2 linked regions of the Nothobranchius furzeri genome follow. The protein of the gene in region 2 interacts with the protein of the main gene of each other region in a biochemical or structural test. Links are inferred from orthologs where the notes say so. Each region holds a gene or a part of one and is shown on either strand. Other genes may lie near its edges.

The links.
Region 1: the proteins of rbbp8 (region 2) and klhl15 form a complex in vitro, tested with the Homo sapiens proteins (2 studies listed by BioGRID, with this or other methods). The link is inferred for Nothobranchius furzeri from reciprocal best matches to the Homo sapiens genes RBBP8 and KLHL15.

Annotation. Positions count from the first base shown.
Region 1 is NC_091747.1:63,364,457-63,370,806, reverse strand, and holds the start of klhl15 (kelch-like protein 15), read left to right. Parts: upstream 1-2,169; 5' UTR 2,170-2,397; coding exon 2,398-2,458; intron 2,459-3,622; coding exon 3,623-3,710; intron 3,711-5,988; exon of another isoform or gene 5,989-6,077; coding exon of another isoform or gene 6,078-6,097; intron 6,098-6,235; coding exon 6,236-6,350. Other genes in the region: eif2s3 (eukaryotic translation initiation factor 2 subunit 3), read right to left, coding at 64-191, 281-344, 1,265-1,333. UniProt on the Homo sapiens protein: Substrate-specific adapter for CUL3 E3 ubiquitin-protein ligase complex.
Region 2 is NC_091747.1:41,226,344-41,232,846, reverse strand, and holds the start of rbbp8 (DNA endonuclease RBBP8), read left to right. Parts: upstream 1-2,936; 5' UTR 2,937-3,027; exon of another isoform or gene 3,028-3,085; intron 3,086-3,282; 5' UTR 3,283-3,302; coding exon 3,303-3,402; intron 3,403-3,488; coding exon 3,489-3,531; intron 3,532-3,615; coding exon 3,616-3,711; intron 3,712-4,437; coding exon 4,438-4,529; intron 4,530-4,696; coding exon 4,697-4,769; intron 4,770-5,643; coding exon 5,644-5,825; intron 5,826-5,933; coding exon 5,934-6,029; intron 6,030-6,210; coding exon 6,211-6,281; intron 6,282-6,365; coding exon 6,366-6,433; intron 6,434-6,503. Other genes in the region: fam168b (myelin-associated neurite-outgrowth inhibitor), read left to right, coding at 546-688, 901-1,099, 1,184-1,296. UniProt on the Homo sapiens protein: Endonuclease that cooperates with the MRE11-RAD50-NBN (MRN) complex in DNA-end resection, the first step of double-strand break (DSB) repair through the homologous recombination (HR) pathway.

The sequences.
Region 1 (6,350 bases), about 22 Mb from region 2:
CCCCTGAGAGCTTTTCCCAGAGGATTCTCCCGGATCCATCCTCGCTGCACAGGAACCGCTCACCTTAGCGTTAGCATATCCTAGCTTGATGGTGATGTTCCTCTCCAGCTCGTTCTTGAACCTGACGGTATGAACGCCAGAAATAGCCTTCACTACTGTGGACTTCCCATGGGCCACATGACCGATGGTGCCTGAGAGTCAGAACAGAGTCAGAACCGAGTCAGAACCGCTTTAAACCCGCAGAGAAACAAAAACAACAGAAGGCACACCGGCCTCGTACCGATGTTGATGGTGGCCTGTCTGCTGATGATCTCTGGAGAGAGAGGCGTCAGGGTGGACACGTCCTGCCGAAAGAAAACACCCAGATCTGACAAAACGTACAAAATAACACAGATTAACTGAGCCAAGCGGCGTCTCTGGGGTTAATCCTGCAGATTATCAGGAACAAAGACGAGCCTAACCCTAACCCATCACAGCAGCCTGGGACAAGGTCCGTAATCAGAGAAAATGAGCTCCAGGTCTGACCAGGACCACGCGTTAGACCATCAGAAAGGACGAGCAGCTTCCTGCTTCCTCAGCAGAATAAAACCTCCAAAGAAAAAACTAATAATTAATTAAGGATGTTAGAGATTATTCCTGAAAGACTGATGGATGAAACTAGAGTTTGGAACAAGATGCAGCAGAAATAACAGGAATGTGTTATCATGAGTTTATTGCAGTCACATCTGGAAATGCATGGTGGATTCCTGTAACATCTAAAGGTTTAAACAGTTTTAGATTAATAACGTTTTTATTTGTCTTCTTCTGGACCGGAACAGGAAGTCGTTACCTAACTTCTACCTTATAGATATGATCTTTAATCCCATCCCCACCATAATAACCCTGTTATTAAAGGTTTATGACACCGCCTTCATCACTGAAGTGTCACAATAACATCACCCAGAAATACGTCACCAAAATTACTTCCTGACAGTTAATATTGAAGCTAATTTTTGAGCTTAACAGTCGCAAACACAAAATAGCGACAATTTAGAAACACGTGAACGCCTAAATCGCTTTAAAGAACCTGGAGGCTCCGCTCGTGCTTTAGGAACTCTCCACCCCGCCGGGCCTGCCGTCATGTGCCGGGTGAAGGCAGCGCAGCCCCGGCCACCGCTCACCGCACAATTTCCCCCCGTTAACGGATTGCTTTCGGTTAAACGACGGGCTGCCAGCCTGAAACGTGAACTCAGGGGTGTGTAGAAACCGCTGAAACGAGACTCACCAGAGAGCTGAGGTCTTGTTTGGCCAGATGAGGCTGACCCAGCGTTGTTCCAGACTCATCACCCGCCATCTTCGCTGGAAAGGGAATGAAAGAGGCAGCCCCGCCGAATGCCTGATCAATTTACCAAACCGTTTCTTTGAAAAAACAAAAAACGTTTTACTCTGATCAAAATCAAACAAAAACTGTAACTTTAACAAAAAACGTGTAAATTATGTCCACTTTCATTTATATACATATATATTTAAAAATATCTCGTATGATTTCTCTGACTGAAAGAAAAACGGGTCCTTTCTCAAATGCTGATGCAATTTATCACGTTCGTAAAAGAACAATTTATTATATCATTACTCGTTATAACCAATAAATAAATAGTTTAGATTTTTTTGCTACTGAACACAAAACTTGGTTTAATTAACGTCAATTTAAAAATAAGCCTAGATAAATAATTAGTGCCAGGCCGTCGTTAAAATATGACATCATCAAATACTGTTTGTAGTCTTCTTAACAAGTTTGTAGTTTTTGAAAACCTATGTAAAAATATTTATGTGGACATCTAAATCTAAATGTGACATTTTTAATTAGCTGTCTACACCTGCAGTCTGAATGGGCATATATTGATTCTAAATAATTTTATTTACATTTGTGTATAAACTTAACTCCAGGTCTCTGATGAACCTACATGTGGTGAAACATACATATCATATATTAATATATGATATCTATGTGGTGAAATACCTCTTGTATCAATTAGCTTATTTTAAATGTGTAATAAAATGCGATCCGTTATATTGATATATTTATATCATCTAAAAAGTAAGACGTGCACAACAAAACAAACAACTCAGTACAGTTGTATTGTTTGCTGTTGTTTTTTAGACTGCAGTGATCCATCTTGTCTCATGTACACTCTTTGACTGTCCGCTCTCCCGCCGCCCTTCAGTTCCGTCATGAAGGGAAATTACGTCGGTGCAGAAGATGGTGTCTGTAAATCCTGTGGACCGCTGCGGCTCGGCACCCGTCTAATTTGGAGCCGTGTGGGGGGTATCTCCGTCTGGCTGATGGATTACAGAGAAAGTATGGCCATGCGGCGCTGCCGTCCGCTCTCTTGACCGCGGAATCGAACCCGTAACTTCATGTCTGACGGAGCCAGAGCTGCCTGGACGAAGAGGGGTTGTGGGGATTCGCACCGCCGAGGTGAGACGGTTGGATTTAGCCGCTAAGCTAAAGCTGTTCCCCGGTCACCGCAGCCTGCTTGCAGCTAATTTAACCACAGAGACGTAATTAACACGTTTAACGTCAACGCTTCCACCCCAGAGGCAGAATAAAGCCTCCGGCTTTAGCCGGATGTGAGAGCAGAGTCAGAGCCGCTGAGTGGAGCCTTTGTTTGGAGCTCGAGTTAAAAACCTCCTCCCCTGTGGTGGAGGTACACCAAAGAGGATAAACACACCTGCTCAGGTGTGTTAGCCTTCAGCTCCAGTCTCAGACACACATCCGAGCCTGCTGCTGGTCTGGGGACAGCCGTGATGAATCTGGCTCTCAGGCTCTAACTACAGCAGTTCCTGACACGTTTAACTCACCTGTCCGTCTCCTCGCACCTCAGACAGGCTTTCACCTGGAGACCAGTATTATTCCGCACATTATTTATCATCAGAGGAATAAATTGAAGTTAACCCAAAACTATAAATCATGGAGAAGTTTTCTGCTCAGACGCTTTGGAGGAACTAAGAGCAGCAGCGTGTTTACATAAATATTGTTATTATCATATTTTCAGATGGTTCAGATGCGCAGACCTGGAAACACGTGACCACAACAGTCCACCTGACACAAAAAATCTAATTTTCTTCCTTTCTTAAATTGGGTCCTTGAACGCACCACTGCTACATGCTAATTAATCTGAGCTCACTTTGTGAACGGTCCATGGTCCTCCCTTCTTGAATTATCTATCAGGTTTTCAGTTTTTAACAATATTTCATTTTTGCAGATTTTTGTTTCACACAAATCTTAATAAATCAGTCTTATCAGGTCAGAGCTGCGCAGAAAAACCCTAAACTGGTATCGGTTCTGCAAGCTGCATCAGTGCTGCTCTTATAGAGAACAGTCAGGCATTTAAAACTCATTATTGTGACTTGGTTATGAGTTTAAAGTCAGAAGAACTGAAACATTTATAATCACGACTGAAACGAGTTCCCAGACCCAACAAACGTTAAAAATCACTTTAATTTCTCAAACTGCTTTTAAATGTTCATGCTTAATGAGATCCTGTTGTTTGACAGTTTTAAATACCTGCAGGGTTTGTTGTTGTTTCTGTGTGGATCAGCTGATCTGACCCTGATGCTGCTGTTCTGTGTGTTCTGTTAGAACCGGGGAAACATAAACACAGGAAATGCGAGCGGCCCCTTAGCGCTCAGACGTCACAGCCTGTGATCGCTGGCCCGGGCTCCAAAAGGTACGACGCTGCTCTCCGTCTCAATTCCACACAAATAATCTCCTTCCTGGTGGCTTTAGTCTGGGGTTTCAGCCTTTTTTATTCAACCTTAAAGAGCAAGTCACCCCCAAATCTACTGTTTTTTGCCGATAAACTAAATAAACGAGTGTCTAATCGTGCTGCAGACACGTGTCGTCAATAGTTTGGCACTTCAGTGCATCTTAGTTAAAATTTAAATATTCTGCCTAAAACTGGCAGTGTTGTGCCGTTGTCAGGTAAAAACTCTGCCCTGTATTTGAATTTAAATCTGCCACTGCTATTGGCTAAGAGGTATGCTATGATGTAAACTAGTACATTATGATGTCACAATGCTGTCGTGAGTCTGTGTGTGTGTGTTTGTTAGCGGCTCCGCCCTCTCGGTCTGCCAGGCAACAGCATGTGTTGCATTTTTCAAACAGGAAGTGGGAGTGGAGTTAGGCTCTGGTAGGGGGTGACTTGCTCTTTAAGAACTGTTTTTGTGTTTTCTAAACATAAAAGTAAATCTGGATGCTTTACAGCAAAATCCTGGCTTAATCTGCGGGGTTCACAAATGACCGACCTACAATAAAACCCCCTCAGACCCAAATATTTACTGATTTAGACACAAAAACATTAATATAGTAATTTTCATAATTAACGTTTTTAATAAATATTTTACAGAAAACGTTGAAATTTGAGGAAAAGTTGAAGCTCCTTAATCAGATTTATTTATTTATTATTTTTTACAGTTTGTAGGTTTCATGACCCGCAGCGCAGGCCCGACCCAAACAAGGAGAACTGTTGTGTTAAACGATCAATGTTTATTGTGTTTTTAATTATTAACGGAGATAAATGTGCAGCAAAGACGGAACAAACTTACTGGCATTCACCTGCTTCTTCATCAACATCCCAGAGTTCAAACTTCCTGGTTCTGTTGGTACCGCTGGTTCTGATCTGGATCATGTTCAGTTAAAACTTCAGACCGTCACCATCCGTGATTTTGTTTTTATTCTAACAGAAGCTGTATTAGCAGTCAATGGTGAGTCGGGCCACCTTTAGCAGAACTCGTGTTTCCTCATCGACATAAATACGGTTCCCACCAACCCTTTAAACTTTATTGGAACTGGTTCTTAAACAAAAACATTTTCAGAATTTTATTCTAAGGAGACGTAATTACTTTTATTCTCTGAGCTTAAAGAGCAAGTCACCCCCTACCAGATTCTTACTCCACTCCCACTTCCTGTTTGAAAAATGCAACAAAGGCTGTAGCATAGCATAGCGAGAGGGCGGAGCCGCTAACAAATACACACACAACATTGTGACATCATAATGTACCATCTAACATCATAGAGTACCTCTTAGCCAATAGCGATGGCAGATTTAAATTCAATGCAGTGCAGAGTTTTTACCTGATGACGGTGCAACGCTGACCGTTTTAGGCAGAATATTTAAACTTGAGCTAAGATGCACTAAAGTGTCGACTGCACATGTCTACAGCACGACCAGACACTCGTTTATTTAGTTTATGAGCAAAAAAAGTTGATTTGGAGTGACTTGCTCTTTAAAGGGACGGTTCCGATTTTTCTGTTGAAAAAAACAAACAAACAACCAATATCTCACGTCTGGGAGCAGCATCAGTTTGGAGAAACAGATTATTTGTGGCTGGATTGATGAGCTAACGGCTAGTTAGGCAAGGCAGAGAACCAGGTGTTTCTGCTGCATTTAAACAAGTTTAATCTAAACAGCTTTACAGCGTTGGCCACTGTTAGCATCTTTGCTTTAAGAGCAGCTAGCTGTAGCACTTCCTGTGTGTGTGTGTGTGTGTGTGTGGGGGGGGGGGTAGTTGCCGTATTACTGATATGTTTGAGCCTTAAGACAACAGCGCTGAGCACCTGCTGGGACTAGCAGTTAGCTTATCAATCTAGTCAAAAAGAATCTGTATTTCTCCAACCTGAAGCTGTTCAGCCTGTTTTCCTCTTAGTTAATTTTTTATTTTCTGTAGATTTAATCCCTGAAAAAAAAACTTTGTGTTTTAATTTGGTGATAAAATCAGAATCTGGAGGAATTGCTTCCCGATGACGTCGTGTGCTATCCTATAATCGATCCCTCGTTGTACCTCTGGTTTCCATGGTGACATCAGGACGCCGCTGCTTCTTTCTGACCTGTTGTATGAAGTCGCGGCCGAGCACCTGCTCACCTGTGGCACACGTGTGTGCAGGTGCTCGGCCGTGTAGTCTGGTGAGGGTGGAGGTGTTTAACGTTTGTTGGCTCTGTCGTTCAGGTGATTGACGCTCAGAAAAGGGACTTTGTTAGCATCAGCTGGACACAAGGGGCACTGTCCTCTGATTGGCTCGGACAACCCCCTCTGACATGCCCGTGGCCAATCAGAGGTGAGTGGGTGTTTGTGTGTGTGTCTGGTTCAGCTTAGATGTCCCTCTAGCTCCTGCCGCTCACACACTTCAGACTGTTGTAACATCATGACTTCCTCTCTCTCTGTGAATGACTTCCTGCTCCGCCAACTTCTTCAGGTGTGTTATGTCGGGGGCGGATGTGGAGGTGTACCTGTCCCAGGTGCATGATGGGAGCGTGTCGTCAGGCTTTCGAGCGCTGTACGAGGAGCGTCTGCTGCTGGATGTCACCTTG
Region 2 (6,503 bases):
TTGTCTCAGAGTTATTGTGGTCACTATTTGTGTTTTTGTGTAAAAGTTGTAAATCATTATTTTTGTATTTTAAAGTGTTTACTCATCAACCCCAAACCCAAAGAGCTTCCATCCTGCTAAAGTTTTGTTTCCTGATTTAGCACACAAGAATTAAATAATTTAATCGCCTTCTTATAGTGTTGATTTCTACAGAGGTCTGTTAATTACTGTCCAGGTGCGTTGGAGCTTGCAGACACACATTTTCATGGACTGGAACTGGCCACTCCTAGCATAGCTAGCTTACATCCTATAGGACTGATGAGCTAATGGCTAGTTGTAGCACATTTACTACTACAGGTTGCCATTTTTAAACAGCTTCAGCCTGTAAAGATCAGTACAATTGTTCATTCATTGTAAAATAATACAAAACTAGATGTAGCACTTCTTTTGGGGGAGTTTGTGCTCAGCGTTGCACTTTTCTGCTGGGTTACATCACCATTGCTCCGTTGAGAAACTAACTTGTCTTGCTGCTATAAATTATTACAAGAGGTGCTGGCTCATTTCAGGCTACGCTCCTGGAACTCCTTTTAAAATGTCCTGCTCTCCCAACACTGGGACTGTGCCACCATACTCTTCCTCACCAAGCCCCTATCCTGCTGCTGTCTACCCTGTCAGGAGCACCTACCCCCAACAGAGCCCTTATGCACAGGTCAGTGAGTTCGTGCGGACTTTGGTATTCATGTGAAAAGTAGACTAGAATATTTTTGCCTCTGTCTGTTTGTGTGTGTTTGCAAAACATCTCCTGAACCACTGATCTCAATGTAACAAAAAAAAATCATCTATCACCTATGATGCCTTTATTTTTCAACATGTGTCGTTAGCGATTTTAGCTAAACGAGTCACCATGTTTGTCTGATTCAGGCGTTAATACCTTCCCAACAACAAGGCACCTATTACACGCAGCCGCTGTACGCTGCACCACCTCATGTCATCCACCACACGACGGTGGTCCAGCCCAATGGAATGCCTGCAGCCATGTACGCCCCGTCCATCGCTCCTGGCCGCGCCAACGGCGTCGCCATGGGGATGGTCGCCGGCACAACCATGGCTATGTCCGCTGGTGAGCTGCAGCGACTTTTTACTTCTGCATATTCAGAACTAATAAGTTAGAATTTAACTCGAAACTATCAAATCTGCCTCACAGGAACTTTGTTGACAAGTCCCTCACCGGCACCTGTGGCCCCGCATCAAGTCACGATGCCCACATATCGGGCCCCCGGCACCCCCAGCTACAGCTACGTGCCCCCACAGTGGTGAAGACACTAAGTGTGAGTGTGGATCATTTAGATTTTTAACATTTAGATGGAATCCTTCCATTGATCCCCTTTTGTCCCTGCAGGTCTGAAGGTAGATATGCATTTACACTCTGCTCCAGTGTTCTTGGTGACGACCTGCCCAGGCAGCGTATGCTACCAGTTTAGTCTTCTTCCAGCATAATGTGAATCTAAAACTCAACTACATAGAATGTGGCCCATTTGGACAGGGAGAGGGTGAAGAATCAGCCCATCCCCATAACCTCCTTTAACGACGTACGGCTGCATTCGGCGCCATCTTCACCCCTCCTCTTCCTCCTCCTCCTCCCTGCCAGCATCAGCACCTCTACAGCCTGCTGCGTATCTCACATCCCAGCTGCAAAGCCTCCAGGCACACCTTCTGTGGACTGTCATGCAGGTTTTATAGCTTAAACTCTGAAATGTAAAGGGAGTTTTGTTTTAGTTTTATAGTTTTGAAATGTCATTTGTTATGTTATTCTGGGGAAATATGTAAATGATGATGACTGCATGTGTGTTTATGTAAACACACACACTCGCACTAACGCTAGCTTGATCTACCTGCTGTGACAGATGCAAAGTCAACAAAAGGCGCACGTCCAAAGGAACAAAAGAGTAATAATCTATAATGCTGAATCATCAGTGACCATGACATCAATGTGAAAGAAGAAAAGTTTGTTCATGCAAAAATAAACCTGCATGTCGAAGAGCAGGTCAAACTCAACTTTTCCCTTGCTTTGCATTTAGATAACTGTTATTGTTTTTTAAGTGATGCAGTGTTTGCATTGTGTCTTACCTTTTTTATATTTCAGGAAAAAGACGGAGCTTTATGCTCGCGTCTCCGACCAACAACCATTCTGCGTTTTAGTTTAAATCAGTCTGTTTAATTTCTGGTCGCATTATTAAGAGTGTTTTTGTTTTTTAGTTGTTTCTCCTGATAGTCCGAAGCAGCTTCAGTTTGGTTGAGATAAATGTTGGAACCATTGTTTTATTTTTGGCCAGAAGTGTTATGGTAACAAGCAGAAAACGATATTTAAATTTGTTTGCACCTGCTTTAATGAGAATGAATGAGCAACAACAGTGTTGTTTATGTATTAGGAAATGTCTTAAGATAGAAACCATCAAAATGGTGCCATACAGTGCTACATGCTTAGCGTCTTAGACCGTGATGTCACTAGTCAGTTTGTATTTGTGTATCTGATACACTACATCATTAAATCACTGCTAAATGTTGATATATTAGGAACTGGAATGATTAAACTCAATTGTGAATAGCACTACTTAATGAAGGCACTAAGTCAATACAATTAAAGTCTCTTAACCTTTGACATCGCTCGCTGTCTTACCTCAAAGCTAACCCACCAATATCACTGTTTCAGACATGCTTCTCTATGTTGCCTCAGTCACCTCAATTAAATAATCTGTTTTGTAAATGTTATTTTGTGATTTTGGGTTATGTTTTGTACTCTAAAAAATAAAAGCAGAAATAAGAATAAAAAAACCACCTGTTTTATGTTACAGCAAATTGCATAAGTACCTCCCATCGACATTAATATTGTGGGGGCTTGGTACCTCCACGTTTAATGGGTACATTTACTCGGCTTGAACAGCAGGGGGCGACAGAGTCGCACATACACGAGAATGACGTCAAAAGAAGAAGGATTCCCATCATGCATTTCGGCGCGCAAATTTTGATCTTCGACAACAGCATTACTATGTAGGTTTTCAAATGTATCAGTTTGTCTGCTTTTAAGACTTTCTTTGAAGCATTTAGTGTACGTATTTGTGTTCTTTGTGCGTTACGTATGTTTACGTAACATTGTTTAGTTTTAGCGACAACGTAACAGCTGTGTGATGCCACAGGACGTTGTTTGTGTTTTAGTGTGAATAACTAGTTATATGTTGTGTGTTGTAGCTTATCAGCTGTTGAATGTTGTAAATTCCACCTCTAATGAAGATATTTCCGGTCTAGCCTGTTATCATCTATGGAGGATGAGCAGTCCGGGAGACAGCAGTGGGACAGTCAGACATGCTGATCTGTTTGAAGTTCTATGGAAACAGCTTGGAGAGTGTCATCAAAGCACAGTTCAAGGTAACTGAACTAATCTAATCGTGTTGATGCGTGTTTTAGTGGTTTTCGCACATGCCAACACTATTTGTGATTGTGACTGTTTGTAGAACTGGAGGCAAAAGTAAGCAAGTTAAAAAAGGACCGCTGCTTGTGAGTATCAGCTTTTGTTCACTAGTAGGGCACGCTTTCCCTCACTTTATTGTTTTGTTTCATTAAGTTGTTTTAATTATACAGAGATGCACAGAAGCTGGAGGTGTTCTATAATCGCAACCAACAGCTTAAGGAGCAAAATAAAACTCTGCAGGACACGATCGGTCTTCTGGAGGAAAGGTAAATGACTCAAACACACACTTGGGTCATCATCATCATGTTGACAACATTAATTGTACTTGGGACTGGTATGGATTTGTCTCAAGTGAATCATTTACAAACCAAGCAAACTAGAAAAATAAGAATTTTCCAGAAATGTGTGGCAGAGGTATTGTAGAGATTACCAGCTTCAATCTGGCCTCTCTCCAGGATCTGTGGGTCTCCAGGGACTTGAGGCACACTAGAGATTCACCTTGACTCCTCATACCCTGAAAATAACCTTTTCATGTGCTGCCCTGTAATCACAGACAACAGTCCACCAGAACCATTACCTCATGGCACAAGATCAGTTTCTTCCCATCAGCTATTGGACTATGGGCTGCATGGCGGCGCAGTGGTTAGCACTGTTGCCTCGCAGCACGAAGGTCGCAGGTTCGAAACTCGGCTGCGGCCTTTCTGCGTGGAGTTGCGTGTTCTCCCCATGCATGCGTGGGTTTCCTCCGCGTACTCCAGTTTCCCCCACAGATCACAACATGCCCTGTAGGTTATAAATTGTAAGTCGCTTTGGATAAAAGCGTCTGCTAAATAAATAAACATAAACATATTTGAACATTCCCTAGAAAATCCCAGAACCTGCTGATTTGTAATCTTCTGTTATAGCGTCCAGTTATAATCATGCATCTTTGTGTACTTTATTATAAGTAACTGTGTGTGTATCATTAGTGTTTTGGCGTTTACTGTCCCCAGACTCCGAGCAGCAGAGCGTGATCAGTGTGCTGTTTTTGAGGAGAAGCTGAAATCCAACCAGGAGCAGAACCTTCATATTGTCACAAAACTAAGTGAGTTTGTTCCGGTGATTAATCTGAGCTCTAGATTATTTGGTGTTAAAGAGTAAAGAGTTGTTTTTATGTGAGTGTTTCACACAGACCAGGGCAGCACAAGCTAAGATGTTTTTGGGCACAATCATGCTTTGTGAGAATTGTGTTTACGGTTTGTCTTCCTTCAGAAAATGAGAGAAACAGACTGGAGGAAGAAAACAGAAAGCTGTTGAATGAACTGCAACAGTTAAAATCAGCTCAGTAAGTTCTTCTTAAAAGTCTGATTAGATTTTTGGGTTGTTGTTGTTTCAAAATTATTACAAATGTTAACATTTTAGTTTCTTTTTTTTTTTTTTGCAGCCAGTGTTGCGTAAAACTTTTCAGATAGACACTGTTTCTCCTGGAGAGGTTTCACTTCTGGTTTACAAAAATGAACTCTTCTAAATTTGAAAGCTGACTATAATAAGTGCCGTGTTCCACTGAGGAGCTTTGCCTCAGAGACTTGTTCTGCATCAGCAGTGACGTTTCAGTTCCTGGTTTAGCTCTGTAGAGGGTGTGGAGAGCAAACAAGTATATAAATAATTCAGTTTGTATTTTAGTTAACTCCAATTACAAAAATAATGTAATAAAAACATAACACTATTAAAATTGTTTTGTCACATTTTACTCAAAGGTCTTAAAAGGTTAGAGCAACATAAGATGGCAGAATGAGGGCAAAACACACCTGCAGCACATGAGTCTTCATAAGCCTCGCGTATGCCTCTCTGGTGAGAGGTTATGTTTTTCTACACGGTTCTATTCCAGGCTCGGCTGTTCCATTTTATATTCACATACTCCTTGTTTGGGCCTCCAGGCTTGTTTATACTAGTGCTGCCTGTTTTTTTATGTGGCTGATTGTTCAGGTAGATTAAGTTTAATTAGCTGGTGTGTCCGTGGGTTTTATTCTAGAGCAGACGTAAGGCTGTGGTGATGAGCATTAAAGCAGTTCAGAGGAAATGTTTTTTGTCTCATAATTTATCCCTTCATCAGTTTGAATGACCAGTAAGCTGCTGCACTTTAGTGTTTCCCAACTCAGTCGGTAACGATTTCAGATTCCACCAAAATAATTGTGATGATGATTATTTTCCTAATCAAGCAGCCCTACTTCAGAGGTAGGAAGCCCGGAGCAGGAGGAAGGATTCATCCCAGACTCACCAGTCCTGCCAAGCTCACTTCCTGTCCCAAACAAGCTGAAGAAACGGAAACATGGTGATAAAGTGAAACACTTCCGATATGCAGAGATGTCTCCGCGGCAGCGCGACAACTTGCTCTTCTACGGTCAGTTATTTAAAAACACCTTTTATCACCTGCTGCTTATTTTAAACCTCACCTCACCTTCCTCTGTGTATTTCCGCTGTTGTGAACGGTTTGGTTTTTATTTTTAAGAGCAAAACAAAAAAGCTGCTAGAGATGGAAGGAATCCCAGGAAAACAGAAGTGCTGGTGCCCAACACTTGTGAACTGGATGCACCCCAGACATCCAGTAAGATGTCTTTTCTAATACAAGTTAATCAAAACAAGAATAATCTTTTTTTTTTTTTTACATTTAATATAACTTTATTTATATTCCTTTAGATCAGAAACAATCTATTTATGTCCACTTCTCCTGGTTTAGTTCTATTATCAGACAGAAGTTGACCTGTCTGGTGTCTGTCTCTTTCCAGATGATGTGAATGAAGGTGTGCTGGAAGCTATCCCAGATACCTGTGGCTTTGAACTTGCTAACAATCTCATTGTAAGTAAAATAGTTTAGGAACCAATCACTGATACATAATCGTACAATAATGACATTTTTATGTTTAAAACATTTTGCTCCCAGGTAAAGGAGACGGCTCCAGATCATCAACGTGCCTCTAGAAGTTCCTGGAAGCACAATGCTCATTTAAAGTAAGACCAACTGCAGCCGGCCTGCATTTATCTGACTATGCGCTAAAAAACTCCTCCCTGCTGGTTTGTT